4 linked regions of the Arabidopsis thaliana genome follow. The protein of the gene in region 1 purifies or fractionates together with the protein of each later gene. This does not show direct contact. Each region holds a gene or a part of one and is shown in the gene's direction. Other genes may lie near its edges. The genes, in order: ARP4A, AT3G18790, AT4G08640 and MAC3A.

Region 1 (4,071 bases):
AGATCCTTTTGAAGGTGAGAAGTGGGATGGTCTAGGTTTCTTCGTTCAGTACTTGTGGGCTTTCGGAATCCTTTTCGCGGTAAATTTCTGTACTTTTCAGTTGCTTTATAACAATTCTCCAATTTTGAAGTTAAACCAATCAATTCACTATGGTTCAAAATGTTGTAACAGCTAATCTCTGGTGGACTTGCGGCGGGGACGTATAACGAAGGTGCGACGGATTTCAAGGAGACGCCAGTATATAAAGAGGCGATTCAATCTCGTGACCTTCTTGATGAAGCAGAGAGTTCAAACTCTGAAGATGTGTTTGAGTCCAACCCAACAGAAGTGGCTCCTAGTTTGGAATAGTTTCAGTTCAGTGTTTAGAGAAAGAATTTAAAGACTGAAACTTTTTGCTATTGGGGTGTTTTAAAAAGCCATATTCCAAGTTGATCTTGAGCTTGTTGTGTTCATAATGTTATAGATTCAAAGTTAAAAGAAGAGTATTGTTCTTCATTGTTCTGTTTTCCGATTTCATTTCTGAACTGCAAACTTCTTTAGGAATCATTCCAATAATCTCTTCTTTTATAAATGTAAGGTAAAGTTATAAAGTTGATCTTGATTCATTGAGAAAACACAAAACAGAAGAGACCGAGATGGTAGTTAATGCAGAAAGACTCAGATGAGGAGGAGAGCGGCGGGTAAGATCGCTGCGAGTGCAAAGATGGTTAGCTGAATCTCAGACTTGGAGCCAGAGGATTTCAAACCATAACCTAATCCCATAAAACTGGTGGGTCTTGGTGCCATTTGAGCCACTGGAGTAGCTGATAAAGTGAAAAGTAACACTATGTTAACTGTTTCCATGTTTTGGTTTTAGCAGATACTGAAAACTTTGGTAAAAAGTGGTTTACCAGCGACACGAGAGTTGTTCTTTGCACCTTGAGAGATTTGAGAACCAGTTGAGCTTGAAGGTGGTGGAGCAACAGAGGAGGAATCACTAGGCGCCTCTCCTATATACCGAAAACATTCTCGTAAGTTCCAAGAAACCAATTTGATCTCACAGAGGAGAGGACAAAGTAGAAGTGTTGTTTACGTACCAGGGAAGGAGGAGGAGCAAGTGGATGAATTGGCTGGAATGTTGCAAAGCGGAGGCAATTGTAGAGCAAGAGTTTGATTAATTGGAAAAGCAGGGGACAAAGTAGAGGTGTTGTTGAGGAAGAGACAGAGACAGGTTGCTTCTTGGCTATAGATCTGGTTTAAGCTGTCACAACATGGCTGAGCCGGAAGTTGGGCAAAGCCTTGAACGAATGGACCACATGGAGCTAAGGAAAGCAGTCTGGAGGCACATGTAGCTGGTACTTGAGCGAGAACCATTCGGAGAAAGAATGCTGATAAGGAGATTAAAAGAGTGATGAGAAGAGTAGAAGAAGCCATTTTTTTCCTAGGAGACTAAGTTTCTTTCTTCTTTGTTTGTGGGAGAGTAAGGGGATTCTGAGTATTTAAGGTTGGAATCAATTGGTTTGGTGTGTGTGACTATGGACATGAATTGTTATTGCACACATGATGTGTGTTTATTTGTTGCAACACTTGAGTTCTTCATGCTCGTTTCTTATTTGGTGTTTTTGAGTTCATTCGTAAATTGTGCTTCTTGTTGACCACAAGAAAACAAGAATGTTACCGGAATCTCGTTAACAAATTTTTAGAATTTGAAATAGTTAACCAATTGAAATACCAAATTTAGAAAACTTGAGCAACAAAGTCGTTGTAGTATAGTGGTAAGTATTCCCGCCTGTCACGCGGGTGACCCGGGTTCGATCCCCGGCAACGGCGTATTTTTAATTTTTTCATATTTGTTTTTATTTTAGTCCCTTTGTTTTCAGTTTCTTTAGTTTTAGTCCCTCATATTTCAGGTTTGTTTGTTTTAGTCCTTCTCTTCTTTATATTCAACTTCCCAATCCGAGACAAAGTGAAATCACTTAAATAGTTTACTTTCCGGTTCCGTTCTTAAACCTTCCGACGAAGCTCCGGTAGAGAAAACCTCTCTTCACCTCTCCCATTCTCGGCAGCCATGTACGGTGGAGGTAGGTTTTATTTTCGTCCTCTCTAAAATCTCTCTCTGATTGTACAAATTCAGCATTACTTCTTTCCCTTTTCGCTTGAGCTCGTCTCGTAAAGGTGTAAACTTTTCCTTGGTGGGGTTTCTTATATATTGAACAGACGAAGTGTCAGCTATCGTAGTAGACTTAGGTTCTCACACTTGCAAAGCTGGTTACGCCGGAGAAGATGCCCCTAAAGCTGTTTTCCCTTCCGTAAGTCTCATTCTTTACTTCCTCTCTTTTCAATTGGTTAAAGTTAGGTCCTTTTAGTGTAGAGCAAGCAATTCGAGAAATTTAGGTTTTTTGTTGTTGCTGTTGTTGATGTGTTATATAACTTATAAGGTTGTTGGAGCGATAGATGGAAATGGAATGGATATTGATGATGCTGCAAACACCACGGAGGATGCAAAGGAGTCTGATAAAGAAAAAGGCAAAAGGAAGCTTTACACAGGATCTCAAGCTTTGAACTTTCGCCGCGATCAAATGGAGGTCAGTTTTCTTTATTAAACTTCAAAATGGTTAGGGATGAAGATAAATTTTCAGGTCTCTCTATTAGTTGACATTTGTCTGTTCCAGATATTGTCACCTACAAAGGATGGCATTGTAACTGATTGGGATATGGTGGACAATGTATGGGATCATGCTTTTAGGTAATTTGCAGAATCTGTTAGTTTTTGTCTTTAACTGTTTAATCTTTATCTTTTCCATTTATAGTTGATTGATGATTTCATCTGTGTAAATGTTTATTATTCAAGGAATTGTCTAATGATTGATCCCACGGAGCACCCAATGCTACTTGCAGAGCCTCCTCTGAACTCACAGCAGCAGAGAGAAAAGTCTGGTTTCTCTACCTTTTATCGATGCTGAGTTCATCTTGGATTAGGAACAGATTATTCTGGTGGAACATCATCAATGCAGTAATTGAAAGAACGCCTCGAGAAAGACTTGGTAGAAGTAAGGTAGTATACTGGCATCGTTAGGCTCATTCCAGCAAATGTGGTTCTCCAAGTCTGAGTAAGTAACACATTGGATTGCTCTCTAGATCTCGACTCACGTATAAACAGTGTCTTCTCATCGCTAGGGTTTGAGTCTTTTTGTGTACATGACAGGTATGCAGAGCATGGAGCTTCTTACATCCAGAGGAAATGCCCTTAAAAGCTGCTTGAGATCAAGATAACGAGAACCTTTGGAGACAGTCAGAGGGTTTAGGGATTAAGTAATTAGTATCTTTTCATTTATTTAGGCAAATATTAAACACTTTTTTATTATTATTATGAAGCTTTAGAAATAGCTTCGTATAATATAATGTTTCAACGTTAACATACAACAAATGTACTATTTTTCTAAGTGAAAACAACCACAAATGTACTTGTGTGTTTGCCTGTTTGGTAAATCCACCTTCTCCGTTATCCAAAAGTCGAATTTACGTGTCGTAGTTTTTGTCACATTCGTCATTATCCAATAACACATGTCCACGTGTCACCATTTTCTGGTCTCTGGACGGCAAGAATCGCCGACGTGCCCCTATTTAATCGGATTCTCCCATTTTTATTTTATTTTCGTCAGATTCTCTCCAATTTTGTTTTTTCTTTTTAGATTTTTGATTCTCGAATCGCGGCTCCTGTGGGTCTCTGTGTTTTCCTTATTTTGAGTTCGGATTAAATCTCGATCGCGATTTGGTCCAATATCTCCTAGCATCGAGAGATTTCTATTCTGGCTAAATTTTGTGTTTTCTCAGGTGGATAAGAAATTTTCTCTTTGTCGTTTTCCTCGATAATTTTCGGATTACGGCGACGAATCAGATTGTTTTTTGGTTTCAAATTTTCTGATATTTCCAAAAAAACAAAAAAATCTGATTTTTGAGAAAAAAGCAATGCAACGGATCGTGGACAACGCTCTCGCTGTAACCAAAGAGTGAGTCTTTTTTCTTATCGATCATCAGTGGATTCATCTGTGTATGCGCCTATAGTTGTTCTAATGTTTCATAAATGACAAG
Region 2 (4,869 bases), on another chromosome or scaffold:
GAGAGATCCATGTTCATGTTACCTGGGAAATGATTTGTATATGTGAATTGAAATCTGAACTGTTGAAGTTAGATTGAATCTGAACACTGTCAATGTTAGATTGAATCTGAACACTGTTTAAGGTTAGATGAAGTTTGTGTATAGATTCTTCGAAACTTTAGGATTTGTAGTGTCGTACGTTGAACAGAAAGCTATTTCTGATTCAATCAGGGTTTATTTGACTGTATTGAACTCTTTTTGTGTGTTTGCAGCTCATAAAAAATGGCTGAGGCTGATGATATTCAACCAATCGTGTGTGACAATGGTACCGGTATGGTGAAGGCTGGATTTGCAGGAGATGATGCTCCCAGGGCTGTTTTTCCCAGTGTTGTTGGTAGGCCAAGACATCATGGTGTCATGGTTGGGATGAACCAGAAGGATGCATATGTTGGTGATGAAGCACAATCCAAGAGAGGTATTCTTACCTTGAAGTATCCTATTGAGCATGGTGTTGTTAGCAACTGGGATGATATGGAAAAGATCTGGCATCACACTTTCTACAATGAGCTTCGTATTGCTCCTGAAGAGCACCCTGTTCTTCTTACCGAGGCTCCTCTTAACCCAAAGGCCAACAGAGAGAAGATGACTCAAATCATGTTTGAGACCTTTAACTCTCCCGCTATGTATGTCGCCATCCAAGCTGTTCTCTCCTTGTACGCCAGTGGTCGTACAACCGGTTAGTACATTTTAGGCTTTTTGTTTATACTCATTGATCATTATTTGAACTGAGCTCTGATTATCTTCCATTGAACAGGTATTGTGCTGGATTCTGGTGATGGTGTGTCTCACACTGTGCCAATCTACGAGGGTTTCTCTCTTCCTCATGCCATCCTCCGTCTTGACCTTGCTGGACGTGACCTTACTGATTACCTCATGAAGATCCTTACAGAGAGAGGTTACATGTTCACCACAACAGCAGAGCGGGAAATTGTAAGAGACATCAAGGAGAAGCTCTCCTTTGTTGCTGTTGACTACGAGCAGGAGATGGAAACCTCAAAGACCAGCTCTTCCATCGAGAAGAACTATGAATTACCCGATGGGCAAGTCATCACGATTGGTGCTGAGAGATTCAGATGCCCAGAAGTCTTGTTCCAGCCCTCGTTTGTGGGAATGGAAGCTGCTGGAATCCACGAGACAACCTATAACTCAATCATGAAGTGTGATGTGGATATCAGGAAGGATCTGTACGGTAACATTGTGCTCAGTGGTGGAACCACTATGTTCTCAGGTATCGCTGACCGTATGAGCAAAGAAATCACAGCACTTGCACCAAGCAGCATGAAGATTAAGGTCGTTGCACCACCTGAAAGGAAGTACAGTGTCTGGATCGGTGGTTCCATTCTTGCTTCCCTCAGCACATTCCAGCAGGTAAAAATTGATCAGATTTTGTTTCGAATTCTCTTACATGCAAATTGAAATCAAAGGCTGATTATTTATGTATATGTTGGTTACAGATGTGGATCTCCAAGGCCGAGTATGATGAGGCAGGTCCAGGAATCGTTCACAGAAAATGTTTCTAAGCTCTCAAGATCAAAGGCTTAAAAAGCTGGGGTTTTATGAATGGGATCAAAGTTTCTTTTTTTCTTTTATATTTGCTTCTCCATTTGTTTGTTTCATTTCCCTTTTTGTTTTCGTTTCTATGATGCACTTGTGTGTGACAAACTCTCTGGGTTTTTACTTACGTCTGCGTTTCAAAAAAAAAAACCGCTTTCGTTTTGCGTTTTAGTCCCATTGTTTTGTAGCTCTGAGTGATCGAATTGATGCCTCTTTATTCCTTTTGTTCCCTATAATTTCTTTCAAAACTCAGAAGAAAAACCTTGAAACTCTTTGCAATGTTAATATAAGTATTGTATAAGATTTTTATTGATTTGGTTATTAGTCTTACTTTTGCTACCTCCATCTTCACTTGGAACTGATATTCTGAATAGTTAAAGCGTTACATGTCTTCCATTCACAAATGAACTTAAACTAGCACAAAGTCAGATATTTTAAGATCGCACCATTTTATATAACCCCAATCGTCAATTCTACTGTTTCAAGTTTTACACCAAAACAATTACGAGGTGTATCTATTCGTTACTCTTTTCGCTTATTAATCCTTTTACATGATGCAAAATATAACAAATTAATTTCAAATTGTCCTGCACATTTGGTTTATACATCTTGATTCCAAAAAGTCAACTCGTTGAAGAATTAATCAATACTCGAAACGAGTCTTCCTTGGGCCCTAAAATATTGTCCTATCTAGTTGATGCTTATATAGCATATATGGGCTAATAAATTGGGCCTTAGCTTTGGAAAAGGACGTAGAACTTGAAACAATTTTTATTTTTCTTTTTCCGGCGAAACAATTATCTAATTACCAATTTAACCCCAATCCTTTCTCAGTTTCTCTCTTCCGCGTCTCTCCTTCTCGTTATCCTGCAAATTAGGGTTTAAGTAAGAAAAAAAAGCTAGAGAAGTATCTCGATCTCTTCTTCTGTTAGATTCTGCTTTCCTTTGAGATTTGCTAGTGTAATCGTAACCTCCGAAGACCCAAGATGGCTCGTAATGAAGAGAAAGCACAGTCGATGCTCAACAGATTCATCACCCAGAAAGAATCTGAGAAGAAGAAGCCAAAAGAGCGTCGACCTTACCTCGCATCAGAATGTAGAGATCTAGCTGAAGCAGACAAATGGAGACAGCAAATTTTGAGAGAGATCGGTAGCAAAGTAGCTGAGATTCAGAACGAAGGATTAGGAGAGCACAGACTTCGAGATCTAAACGATGAGATTAACAAGCTTCTCAGGGAGAGATATCATTGGGAGCGGCGAATCGTTGAGCTAGGTGGTCACAATTACTCGAAACATTCGGCGAAGATGACGGATCTAGAAGGTAACATAATCGATGTACCTAACCCTAGTGGTCGTGGTCCTGGTTATCGTTACTTCGGAGCTGCTAAGAAACTTCCTGGTGTTAGAGAGCTTTTTGAGAAGCCTCCTGAGCTGAGGAAGCGTAAAACTAGGTATGATATATATAAAAGGATTGATGCTAGCTATTATGGGTATAGAGATGATGAAGATGGTATTTTGGAGAAGTTGGAGAGGAAATCTGAAGGAGGGATGAGGAAAAGATCGGTGGAGGAGTGGCGGAGATTAGATGAGGTTAGGAAGGAAGCTAGGAAAGGTGCTAGTGAGGTTGTGAGTGTTGGAGCTGCAGCTGCTGCGGCGAGGGAAGTGTTGTTTGAGGAGGAGGAGGATGTTGTTGAGGAGGAGAGGATGGAGAGGGAGAAAGAGGAGGAGAAAGAGAGGGAATTTGTGGTTCATGTTCCGTTGCCTGATGAGAAGGAGATTGAGAAGATGGTGTTGGAGAAGAAGAAGATGGATCTGCTTAGTAAGTATGCTAGTGAAGATTTGGTTGAGCAGCAGACTGAGGCTAAATCCATGCTCAATATTCATAGATAGAAAGGTGATCATCTCTTCTTGTAAGGCTTTTTAATCATATCATAGTATAATTTTATTGTCTGTAGTTTCTTTTGCAGTTTTTGATCAGAAAATTGACTGAACTGCTGTGTGTTTTAAGAAATTTCGATTAGAGGAATTCTAAAAATTTGTTGATGTTTCTTATATTATTACATCCTAGATTATGATCTTAGAGAATTTGCTAGATCTTGATTTATATTTCCTTAGTAGTCCTGGTCTGTTTGAGAGTATGATAAGGCTTCTGTCGAGTAATGTCATAAAGCGCGATCAATCTATAACAACAACGTACATTCTTGCTTCATTAATCAAGAGTTTCACTGACCTGAGTAATTGACCTAGTACCCTTGTATGTGGAGCTTAGATTTGCAGAAACTGTTATTTCAATGGGACATACTTTAGTTAGTGCCTTAGTGGCATGCATTAGGATGCGAAGGAATTCGTATTATATCTTCTCTTGAATTGAATCTGAGAGGCTGATACATCATCTCTATGCTTCTCAGATGCTCTGTTTTACCAACAAACTCAGCCGCGATGGTCTCTTGCCTAAAGAAGAAACGATGTTGGGCGTTTGAAATATGATTTCATGGAAACAAATGTGAAAGACTCAAGGAGAAGATACAATGTCACTTGGAACTGAACTAGTGTATTCTATTATGTAGCTCGACTTTTGTATCTTTATACTTCTGAATGTAATGCTCATTGCCTGAGGTTTATACATTGTTCCTTTGGCTCTAACTAGATTGGTGCTATGCAGAGACATAAGTTGAGACCAACCACAAGCATTTTTCTGGTTTTGATTTTACTCCCAGTAAAATATTTATTGAGTACGGACAAAACATCAAAAATCAGAACAAGACCGTTGAGATGGATAATACTTGTCTAGAGATACGAACCACACCCACATGTTCCTACACACAATCCCCAAACCATCTCTCTAACCAATAACACTTTTTCTCTCTTCTCAGTCCTTCAATGGCGGACTACGACGACGAAATTGACCAGAATAACCAACCTTTCATCCCCAAAGAAACTGCTCTACAAGCACTAAACTCAATAATCCAGCTCCACTTCGAGAAAACCTTAGAGAAGAAACGAGCCATTGACCACCAGAAGAAGAAGCTCCACAAGCTATTTCAGCTCTTCTTCATCTTCCTCGCCGTAATCTTCTTCTCCCTCTCTCAACCCTCAGGTCGTCTTCACTGCCGCCATTGCTGGGCACCCATCTGCCTCCTATCCTTCTCTCACCTCTTCTTCTACGTCTCCGTCGCTCAAACTCTCCGTTGCATCAACGGCTTCAAGTACCAGCGTCGCTGCCATAAGCTCACTCTCGGTCTCGCCACTCACAAGCTCCGTTTCATCAAGTCAAGAA
Region 3 (3,462 bases), on another chromosome or scaffold:
TGCCATCTGTTGACGCCTTGCCATAGGATTCCTAATCTGTCAGTCCAGAAAACACTATCACATAAAATCCCTACATTGCAAAACCCTCATTACAGTGAAAAAGTGAGTCTGTTAATTTTAATTACCACAGGAGAGCGAGAAGGATGAGATCTTCCAGCTGCGAGTCCAATGCTCCCTGTTCCGATAGCATTATAGTCAAAGGAAAGGTCTTCATCACTATCTTCCTCGTCCCCTGTTTGATTTGACATCACAGCCGCAAGTCTCTGAGCAGCTGCTTTTGTCTGAGCTTTCTTAGCATTCGAAGCTGGCCCAGCATTTGATCCTGAACGTGTATGACGATGCATTAGAGGAGACGTCATCATAGGCGAAGATGGTGTTCCTGGTTCCGTACTCTTATTCCTAACATGAATAGGTCTCGTGTTTCTCATCGTCAACTACAAAAATTAAGCACATTGATTTTCATCATCACATTCACATCAATGGCAGTTTGATTGGAACTAAAAATTCCACACATTGAATTAAAAAAATAGTTACCAAATTTGTCAAAATTTTGGAAATCACAGAAAAGTGAAATCCAGAAAAATGGAAAAAGAATTAAATGCGTGAATTAAACAGAACCTTACAAAATTAGATTCAACAGAAATCTCAAAGAATGTTTCAAAAGAAAAAGCAATGAATAAATTTGCCATTTATGGCAGCACATATTTCTCTCTCTGACTGATCTTCGGTCATTTAGCCAGAAATTGCGAGTGGCTTTCAACGGTCGGATTGAGAACAGTTTCTTCTTTAATTATTTATACTTTCATCCCCAATAATTTATTATTGTTATCGATAGTACCTAAATTTATTTATTTTATAGTTTTCATCCCACGATTGTGTAATAATTATCCAAAGTACCCTTTTCCAATTATAATAGCATTATCATCTTTTTGTTTATGGTTTAGGTACAGTTTTTAAAGTTTTCTCACGGTTTGTAAAATAGAAAAAGGAAAATCAAGTAACTAAGAGATATATTATTTGATTTGATAGTTAGCTCGTAATTGTTTCGTCTACCACAACGGCATATAGAAATTTATATTTCTAGTTATGACTTATGATCAGTGATTATAGCATATGTTGTATGATAAAAAATATTTTTCATATAGTTTTTATTTCTTATTAAATTATTAATTACTTATTAGGCAATACATATTTTTTCATTTATTACTTGATATCTCTAACTTTTGCTCTCTTTGTAATACGTAAGTGTAACTTATCTCTGTGTTGTTTTTATGCTTGGCAACATCAATCCTTAATAAGATAGATGAGCTTTTTATCATATCCGAAATAGCCTCTAAGCAGCAGAAAGATGAAAGAGATGATTTAGCCATTCCTTTTGCTAGATCAATTCTCAACCATAAAGATTCTTTGAAAGAGATGAGACTGATAACATTTCGGGATATACAAAATCCTTGGAAAAGGTGAATGATGCGTCCTTATTACTATTTATTATTTCTAGAGTTAAAACATAAATATCATATTTGTTTTTTTGTTCGGTAGGCTCTTGAGATACTTCAAGAACAAGTTAAGATATCTGAGAGACTATGGTTGTGCAAGAGACTTTTCTTTCCCGAATGAGGATGATAACTAGCAAGCAGTTTAACCAAAAAAGTTTAAATTCTTTAGTACTTGAGGTATTTTATTCATGTAAGATTTTTTTTATTATTTCTCATTTCTTCAGTGTTATTGCAATAGAATGGTTCATCTGTTTACAGGTATGCTCTTAAGTCCTAACGAATGCAATGACCATGAACATTGATGATGTCCATGTTGCCAAGATATTGGGAGTAGACTCTCGCAAATCTTGCGTTGTCTGTGGTATCGTCTTTAAAAGTGACGATGTAGGTAACATTAGGCATCCTTTGAAAAATGCAAAGGTGAGACCAGGTTGAACAAATCTTGCATAACATGGCATCCTTTGTAACTGTCTTTCTCAAGGATGGTTGTGTTTTTAATTGTTGACTATTTTTCTCCTTTATTTTGGGTTCTAGTCTTCTAGGTACATAACTTTGGAAAGTCAAAGGAAGCCATGCTTGAGACTTTGGTTAAAGATATTGCTTTTTCCAATGTAAAAGTTATTGTTAGTCGGTCATCAATTTGTGAAATGACACTACGTTTCTGCAAAATTTACAAGTAAGTAATCTCTAACATTTGAACCTACTTTGAATCATTTTTTCTGAACCTTTTGATAAATACAGTGTTGGCAATACCATTTTTTTTAGGATAATGGTTCTACAGATTTCTTCTGACATTGATATTAACAGTTTATGTTCAATAGTTGGTGCAATTGATTCATCTCAGCATTTCCAACCTCATCATCTTGGATACATGGATTCTACATCATTATCAGAGATTGGTAATTCCTCAACAATCACTTTGTGTGGAACGAAATGGAAAGTCTTAACCAAACAACAAAGCTACATTACTCATGGAATCAATACATACAATTTAATACTTGTATATTTACTGAATTAGTTATTCTTGTCTGTAGCCAAGAGAGCTGTAAAGAAGGCAGAGAGAGATGCAGAGAGGGCTGAGAGAGCCTCTCAGAAGAAAGCAGAGAAGTTTAAGAGTAAGCTCCAGGCTGAGAAAAAGAAGGATTGAAACTAGATCAGATAATTGATGTGTTTCTTTTTATCATGTAATGAATGACTTAGAGTAATGTAGAGATTATTGTTCTTAAAAGGTTTGCGGGAGCTGTCTTCACTAAAGGTAAAAAAATCTTAACATGTGAACTCTTTTTGTCGACTCTATCCTTTTTTAGAAGCAGAGGTCTGTTATTAGATGATTATTTAAGAGACATTTTTGAAGTATTTGCTCTGTATAAAGGATCATGAGGCATTTTTTTGTCATGTCTCAAAAATAGACGGAATACATTATCAAAGTTTATATATTTATAGATTATAATGTGTAAGAAAGCAATGTACAACCATGTCTAACGCATAAGCCCCAATAACGTAAAAGCCAGCACCTCTTCAGAACAATCTCTTCCTAAAGAGAGCTCCAGATGAGAAACTATCGATTTAAAAAATACACTAGATGGAAACAAAAAGTATGAACCTTTAAAAATACTCCTCTCGAGTCAATATCAATCTATTAGTCACGGTCTTAAGAGAGTTAAGCTCGAATTCAACTTTATAAAGGTGCTCTAACGAAGATGTTGCCTCCTCCCTAGCAATCTAAAACGATTCCAAGATCTAAGGTGTTAGTACAAATACCCGTAAGAACAACAACATATCAAAACTTGAAGTACCTCAGCTTCTGTGTGAAGAGCCAAAACATCTACCCTCCTTCCTCCATGATTTTGTGATGCAACTCTCAAAGCAGCCTGAAAAGAATTTGGTTCTATGGATTATGCTACTTTTTTATAGGCCAAGATCTAAACTAGAATCATAAAGCCTCATGGAACTTTATAATAAAAAA
Region 4 (7,081 bases), about 27 Mb from region 1:
AGAACAGAATAAAAATCTGTTTAAAGACAGAGAAGAGAAAGAAATTTCTTACAGGTTTCTTCTGGAGAAACTAATGAAGGTTATGGAAGTTATCGTAACCAATTTATTTATACTTATGGTTTAAATGTGTATCTATATGTGTATGTATGCAAAATGTAATAAGAAAAATGCCAGCGTGGCAATTGACGTTAAACGCGCTGGTCCTGGAGTTTCTTATTCTCGTGACGTGGCGTGTAACGATTGGAATAATTAGTTGACGTGGAGAAAATAGTCCCACCTAAGTGATGACTTGGTTGACCGGTAAAGGAGTTTGACCCAATTCTTTTTGTCGCGATGATTTTTGACTTTCTGACTGAAACTTGTGCTAAATTAAGCCTTCTATTTATAGAATTTGGCTTTTCTATTTTATTTTTAGCAATTTAATTTTTCATTTTCTATTTATTTACTTGGTTGGGTTTTTTAAATGCTGGTAAGAAGTGGAAAAGAAGAGAAGGAGAAAAAGAGACCAGGTCAGTGAAAATTTTGAAAATAAGAGATAAAGATCGTACTAAGTCAAATGTATTTATTTTATGGAAATTTCGAGGGGAAAAAAAATGTTACGTGATGCTTAGTTAAATTCGGAAACTACAAATTTCATATCAAGATGGTTTCTCTCGATAAAAATTCGTTACAGTGATAGTTTTAGCATACCATGCTTCGAGTTGTCGTTTTCTATATATGTTGTTTTCCTTACAACCATAACCAAATAATGAACTGATCATACAAATGAAAAGATACTTTTATAGATCGGAATATATATCGACTTAGATAACGTAAATAAAGGTACACCAATGTGATTTATAGATTATATAGTCATCAACACCATATATGAAACTTTAACAAAAAAACACCATATATGAAACTACAATTTTTTACGAACATGGTCTTACCTTTATTTTATCTTTTTTTTTCGTATAAAGAATTCCCAAACTATGAAAAAATGTCAGCTAGGTGAATAATCTAACTTTCATGGACTATTACTCAGCTAAGTTCAAAATATCCCTTCACTTCAAAACTTCTAAAAACAACTTTCATTGACTATACGCATTAATTAATTACTATTGTAATTACGACGATTTTTTTTTCGTTCTCCTCTAGCTTTTTTTAGTTTATTTGTTTTGGTCATGGTTGGGAACGGGACATCATCACATCACTTATCAACATTCTATTTGGTCCCCAACTCTATGAAGCATTATTTGAAATCATTAGCATGACTATCTAAGTTTTTTTTCTCCTGATATTTATCCAAAATTTTATTTCATTCAAATTGTTTAACAATATGTACATATACTATATGTATTATATAAAATACATATCACCACTCAGGCAATTTTTTAAACTTATATACAGTATGTGATAAAATAAACATGGTCATACGTTTAAGAATTGGAAATTAATGAGGTTGCAAGAAATCATTTAACGAGAACAGAATGAAGAGAAAGAAAAAAATAGCAACTTGGTGGCAAAAGGAAAAAGAAACAGCTTGAGATCAAAGCTGATTTGATGAATCGATACTTTGGAGATATATATGAGCATCTTCGGCAAAAGCTTTGGCCTTTGAGTGCAGTGTTACACACACGCATTTTCCAAACGAGATGATTTAAGTTTTGCAGAGCTATCACAAATATATTATAATACCAAACTCTCAGACAATATTATATAAATCGGAAGTCTAATTTTTTTTAATAAAAAATGAAAATATAGTATGACCAATGATTTGTTCATATAAGGTTCTTTTTTCGGCTATGTTAATTGTTGAGAAATGAGAATACTAAATATGCTTTTTATGAGAATACTACTTTTCGGCTATGACTAATTTTTGTTCATAAAGAACACATCTATCGTACGTGCAAATAGAATGGCCCGTACATCGTTGTCCTACCTTATACTTTAAAAGAATTTGTAATCAGAAAAAATAAAAGAAAAGAATGACAAAAAAAAGGGTAAGAATTATACTTTCGAGTTTCTTTTCTCAGACAGAAAGAATGAACGAACATACATAGTTTAACTAATGGGCTTCAGAAAAAAGCCTAATTAGTTATAAATCAAGGTCTCGTTAAAAGGCCCATTTGTTTAACAAGAAATCTCTAACTTGTTGTCCTAAGCTTAAACAATTTTTGCATCTCTCTCTCTTTCCGTCTTCATCGTCCTCCCGGCTTCTGCGATTTTGTTTAGTAGCGCCGGACCGGAGTAGTTAAAACCCTAGCCCAGTCTATTTAAAGATTCACCGAGTAGTCTTCTAGTCCTGCGTATACTTCTTCTTCTTCGTTTATACTTAGAAGATGAATTGTGCAAGTAAGGCACTCTTTCTTCTCTATTTACCGATTTAGGGTTTTATTTTGCTTTGTTTCTGTCGGTAACACTGTGGTCTTTTCTCCTCTACAGTTTCCGGCGAAGTTCCGGAGGAGCCTGTGGTTTCTAAGAAGTCGGGTTTGCTTTACGAGAAGCGGCTAATCCAGACGCATATATCCGTAAGCAAGTTCTTTTCTTTTCTCCCTCGTTCGACTCTTATCTAGGGTTTTCAGCTGTTTAGCCTCTTGCACCTCTCTATTTGCTGCAGATATTTTCTTAATACAGACTTTGTTGTGATAATTTATAGATTGCTTTTGGTACCTTGTAGGATTATGGGAAATGCCCGGTTACTGGTGAGCCACATACTCTTGATGACATTGTTCCCATCAAAACTGGGAAGGTAATGCAACCACTGGAGTTATTTGTCACACAGCATTGTTTGTAGAAACTTATTTAAGCCTGATTCGATCTCCGGGACCATTTTGCAGATCGTAAAGCCGAAACCATTACACACAGCTAGCATCCCTGGATTGCTTGGAACGTTTCAGACTGTAAGTTCTTATTTTGTATTCCCTATACCTTCTTTTTCGTTTCTGAATTTTGTTCTCTGTCTATTAAGGATCATATAGAGTTAAAATGGATGAACTTGATTTGGGTATGCATCGCTATCTGAGTTATTTAACATAGCAGATTGCATTCTACTCTTTACATTGAATTATATGTTCATTTGTTACTAATAGCAAGACGAAAGTGTTCGCTGGTTATTTTTACTTTAGGCAAAAGAAATGCTTAAAAAGTTTATCTGTTTGTTGTGCTTGTAGGAATGGGACAGTTTGATGCTATCAAATTTTGCTTTGGAACAACAACTGCATACTGCGAGGCAAGAGCTAAGTCACGCTTTGTATCAGGTAATTATGGTTAGGTGCATTTGCCACCACCTTATCAGACTACATGAATTACAAATATCTATTATGTATTCTAGTTTCTTTTCCTGGATGTTTCCATTTATTTCTTGTGATAAAAGGTGATTGATGGGGGATACACTTTTCCTTTGCAGCATGATGCTGCTTGTCGTGTGATTGCTAGGCTTAAAAAAGAAAGAGACGAATCACGACAATTGCTTGCAGAGGCTGAAAGGCAGTTGCCTGCAGCCCCCGAAGTTGCCACATCGAATGCTGCTCTTAGTAATGGTAAACGAGGTATGCTTGCACGTTTGCTTCTCAATGTAAGTTGGCTATGTGGTAATTTCTCTTATAACAAGCTACTATGTTTTTGGTTGCAATATAGGTATCGATGATGGTGAGCAGGGGCCTAATGCAAAGAAAATGCGTCTTGGAATTTCGGCTGAAGTTATCACAGAACTCACAGATTGTAATGCTGCTCTTTCTCAGCAGCGTAAAAAGAGACAGGTAACTGCATATATCAGTATATTAGTGGAAATAGAAGGCAAAAGAGAATTACATATATATATAGTTTGTCTGTAACATACAATGGATATCTGCACTTTTGGAGTTCAATTAGATTTGCGAGTGGTTCTTCTGTCTTAATAATTTCTCCTCATTGGTTCTCTAGATCCCTAAAACATTGGCTTCAGTCGATGCTCTGGAGAAGTTCACCCAACTCTCAAGCCACCCCCTTCACAAGACCAACAAACCTGGAATTTTTTCAATGGACATCCTACATTCTAAGGTTTGACACCTAAGAACTTCTCTATTTTCCATTCATCACTTTATGTAGTTTTTCTCTGTCCTGAGAAGTCACTGCATTGAACGTCATAGTGACATGTTTACTTTTGCGCTTACATTATATTGTACACTGCCATGAATCCCCATCTGGATGCTTATCAATATTATTCTTCAGTATATAGATTTTGTACACTACCATGAATCCCTGTGTCTGTTCTCTATTTAGTATTATTCTTAATTTCTCGTTATATGTGGTAATCAGGATGTCATCGCTACGGGAGGAATTGATACAACTGCCGTTCTCTTTGATCGTCCTTCAGGACAAATCTTATCAACGCTGACTGGTCACTCAAAGAAGGTCTGTCTTTTACTGTATTCTTTTTTTATATTTCATTTTCTTTTTTAACTTTTCCTTTGTAGTTTTGTGCTTGACATGCATTGTTCCTTTTGCAGGTTACAAGCATCAAGTTCGTTGGTGACACTGATCTTGTGTTAACTGCTTCATCCGACAAGGTAAGCTAAGGTTATGTGTACAAGCTCCTTTGAGGATTGCATGATTTTATGGAGTAGTAGTGAAGAGATTAACTTCTCATTTCTTAACACTCTGCAGACAGTCCGCATCTGGGGATGTTCCGAGGATGGGAACTATACCTCTAGACATACACTGAAAGATCATTCTGCCGAGGTAAGGATGTAACTGAAGAACTTCTACAGGCTACAGTCTCATACAGTTTTACGTTTTATTTATTTTTGGTCTGTTTAACGTAAAAGCAATGATGTGGTTTTCAGGTGCGAGCTGTAACTGTCCACGCAACGAATAAATACTTTGTGTCAGCATCACTTGACAGTACATGGTGCTTCTATGATCTGTCCTCCGGTTTATGCCTTGCTCAGGTCTCCAAAATTTTAATCCACACCTGATACCTGTTATCCAGTTTCAGATTTCTTCTTTTATGCTAATATAACAATGAAACATTTACCTTCTTTATTGTAATGTGAATTAGACTCGTTAGAATAAATGTTTCTGCCATGCGTCTTTCTCATTATTGTTGTTATTCAGGTGACAGATGCTTCCGAAAACGACGTGAATTACACGGCTGCTGCTTTTCATCCTGATGGTCTCATTCTTGGAACTGGTACCGCTCAATCTATTGTTAAGATTTGGGATGTAAAAAGTCAGGTAAAAACTCTTTGACCTTCCTTGCTCATCAACTGTTGTCACTTGTAAGTTTGTTCTCACTTCACTCTCATCTCTATCTCTGTCGTTTGATAGGCAAATGTGGCAAAGTTTGGTGGACACAATGGAGAAATCACCTCTATATCATTCTCTGAAAACGGTTATTTCCTTGCGGTGGGTACATTGACTGATTGACCTAAACTAAGTAGAAAGAAGGATAGCACCAGGTTCCTTTTGACTGACCAATATTTACTATTCTTTAAATTGTACAGACTGCTGCACTGGATGGTGTTAGGTTGTGGGACTTGCGCAAGTTAAAGAACTTCCGAACCTTTGACTTTCCAGATGCAAACTCGGGTATTCAACTACCTGAGCACTCTTACTAGTCTATTTTGTTGAGTGAGTTTTCATTTCTTAAGGCCTGAATGAGCTTTTTTTGTGCAGTGGAGTTTGACCATAGCGGATCTTATCTTGGCATTGCTGCTTCAGATATAAGGTGAGGTCTACTTTGATACACAATGTTGGGAATTAATTGATATAGGAGCTCACTTTGATAACGAGATATTGAAAGATAGTTGTGCAAACTCAATTAACCTGCTATCACCAGAAATGCAGTTTGGGTATATGTATACGTTTCTTCTGCAAATCATACTAATCGAAAACTTGTGCTTCAATGTTGTAGAGTATTCCAAGCAGCTAGTGTAAAAGCAGAATGGAACCCAATCAAGACTCTTCCCGATCTGTCCGGTACAGGTAAATGCTACATGTTAAGCTTTTGAAGTCACTGCTCTTCCTTGTTTTATTGAGTCTATCATTCAGACATTGTAACTACATAAATGTGCAGGTAAAGCAACAAGTGTTAAGTTTGGACTCGACTCCAAATACATAGCAGTCGGTTCAATGGACCGTAATCTCAGGATATTTGGTTTACCTGATGATGACAATACTGAAGATTCAGCACAAGATTCATGAAGAGATATCTCAAAAGTCTCATCATCAAGAGTAGCTATATCCTCAATTCTCGCGATTTTTGTTGTATCTTTACAGTTCTGTTGGTACTTTCCTGATGGCCCCTCTCACAATCACATATACACACCTGAGCTCTCTCCCTTTCTTTCTCAGTCAACAATTTTCCTGTAACAACATCGTACCTTAAGGATCTGCAGTTGATCTTTCTCTCTTTGATCTGAAAGAGTCCACATAAAACAAAGTTAGCTGCTCACTATAAAAGCAAATGAAGAACAGGCATGTAAATGATCTTCTTCATCATTCAAATCAGTAGGACCTAAACGGCAACAATTAAAAAACTTGTGTTATATAGAAAGGGTCATGAATCTTGAAGACAATGAAATGAAGACAAAAAGATTGTGATGGTGGTCATAGAAATTAGAAAACCCTGAGACAGACAGAGATTTTGACTGTACTGTGGTCAAAACACACACTTCACAATCTTCCCATTCCCCCACCAATCTCAGATTCCTTTTCACTTCCTCCAACTCTTTCTCTCTCTCTGGCCTTTTTTTTTTTTTTTTTTCCTATTTATAGCTCATCTTTAGTAATTCCGTTATTGGTTAAATTTCCTAAACATGTTTTTGGTATCAACAATCAAGTAAGTGCAAGAAAGTTTGTATCTTTCTCTAAACCCAATTTCCAAAGTAACCAACTACTAAACCAGAATGTTACACAAAGTAAGTCACTAAATGACTTTAAAAACAAGATTAGACTTTAAACTAGATTAGAGACATACTTATTTGGAATAAGATTCAAAGGTCACTAGTAGCTAGTAGGTGGTAAAAAGGAAGCTAAACAACAAATAAACTCTTATTAAAATCTTTCAATCAATAAATATTTATTGTAATTTGCTGCAGTAAATCAAACATTGTACAGT

The links.
Region 2: the proteins of ARP4A (region 1) and AT3G18790 fractionate together in Arabidopsis thaliana (co-fractionation; one large-scale study listed by BioGRID). This does not show direct contact.
Region 3: the proteins of ARP4A (region 1) and AT4G08640 fractionate together in Arabidopsis thaliana (co-fractionation; one large-scale study listed by BioGRID). This does not show direct contact.
Region 4: the proteins of ARP4A (region 1) and MAC3A fractionate together in Arabidopsis thaliana (co-fractionation; one large-scale study listed by BioGRID). This does not show direct contact.

Annotation. Positions count from the first base shown.
Region 1 is NC_003070.9:27,787,246-27,791,316, forward strand, and holds ARP4A (actin-related proteins 4A), read left to right. Parts: upstream 1-1,962; 5' UTR 1,963-2,047; coding exon 2,048-2,060; intron 2,061-2,196; coding exon 2,197-2,288; intron 2,289-2,417; coding exon 2,418-2,564; intron 2,565-2,651; coding exon 2,652-2,725; intron 2,726-2,830; coding exon of another isoform or gene 2,831-2,877; coding exon 2,878-3,055; 3' UTR 3,056-3,089; exon of another isoform or gene 3,090-3,184; 3' UTR 3,185-3,331; downstream 3,332-4,071. Other genes in the region: AT1G73885 (AT-rich interactive domain protein), read left to right, coding at 1-79, 172-337, 417-463; AT1G73890 (Bifunctional inhibitor/lipid-transfer protein/seed storage 2S albumin superfamily protein), read right to left, coding at 658-803, 891-989, 1,077-1,413; AT1G73920 (alpha/beta-Hydrolases superfamily protein), read left to right, coding at 3,949-3,989.
Region 2 is NC_003074.8:6,475,274-6,480,142, forward strand, and holds AT3G18790 (pre-mRNA-splicing factor ISY1-like protein), read left to right. Parts: upstream 1-2,387; 5' UTR 2,388-2,579; coding exon 2,580-3,482; 3' UTR 3,483-3,486; intron 3,487-4,000; 3' UTR 4,001-4,309; downstream 4,310-4,869. Other genes in the region: ACT2 (actin 2), read left to right, coding at 262-715, 794-1,407, 1,494-1,559; AT3G18800 (uncharacterized protein), read left to right, coding at 4,473-4,869.
Region 3 is NC_003075.7:5,511,532-5,514,993, forward strand, and holds AT4G08640 (ATP binding protein), read left to right. Parts: upstream 1-1,781; coding exon 1,782-1,916; intron 1,917-2,038; coding exon 2,039-2,172; intron 2,173-2,261; coding exon 2,262-2,395; intron 2,396-2,530; coding exon 2,531-2,643; downstream 2,644-3,462. Other genes in the region: AT4G08630 (fas-binding factor-like protein), read right to left, coding at 1-36, 126-428.
Region 4 is NC_003070.9:1,224,428-1,231,508, forward strand, and holds MAC3A (MOS4-associated complex 3A), read left to right. Parts: upstream 1-2,055; 5' UTR 2,056-2,321; coding exon 2,322-2,334; intron 2,335-2,424; coding exon 2,425-2,510; intron 2,511-2,659; coding exon 2,660-2,731; intron 2,732-2,819; coding exon 2,820-2,882; intron 2,883-3,152; coding exon 3,153-3,239; intron 3,240-3,388; coding exon 3,389-3,530; intron 3,531-3,618; coding exon 3,619-3,740; intron 3,741-3,903; coding exon 3,904-4,020; intron 4,021-4,278; coding exon 4,279-4,374; intron 4,375-4,469; coding exon 4,470-4,529; intron 4,530-4,626; coding exon 4,627-4,701; intron 4,702-4,805; coding exon 4,806-4,910; intron 4,911-5,076; coding exon 5,077-5,196; intron 5,197-5,289; coding exon 5,290-5,367; intron 5,368-5,465; coding exon 5,466-5,550; intron 5,551-5,637; coding exon 5,638-5,689; intron 5,690-5,875; coding exon 5,876-5,946; coding exon of another isoform or gene 5,947-5,952; intron 5,953-6,037; coding exon 6,038-6,165; 3' UTR 6,166-6,520; downstream 6,521-7,081.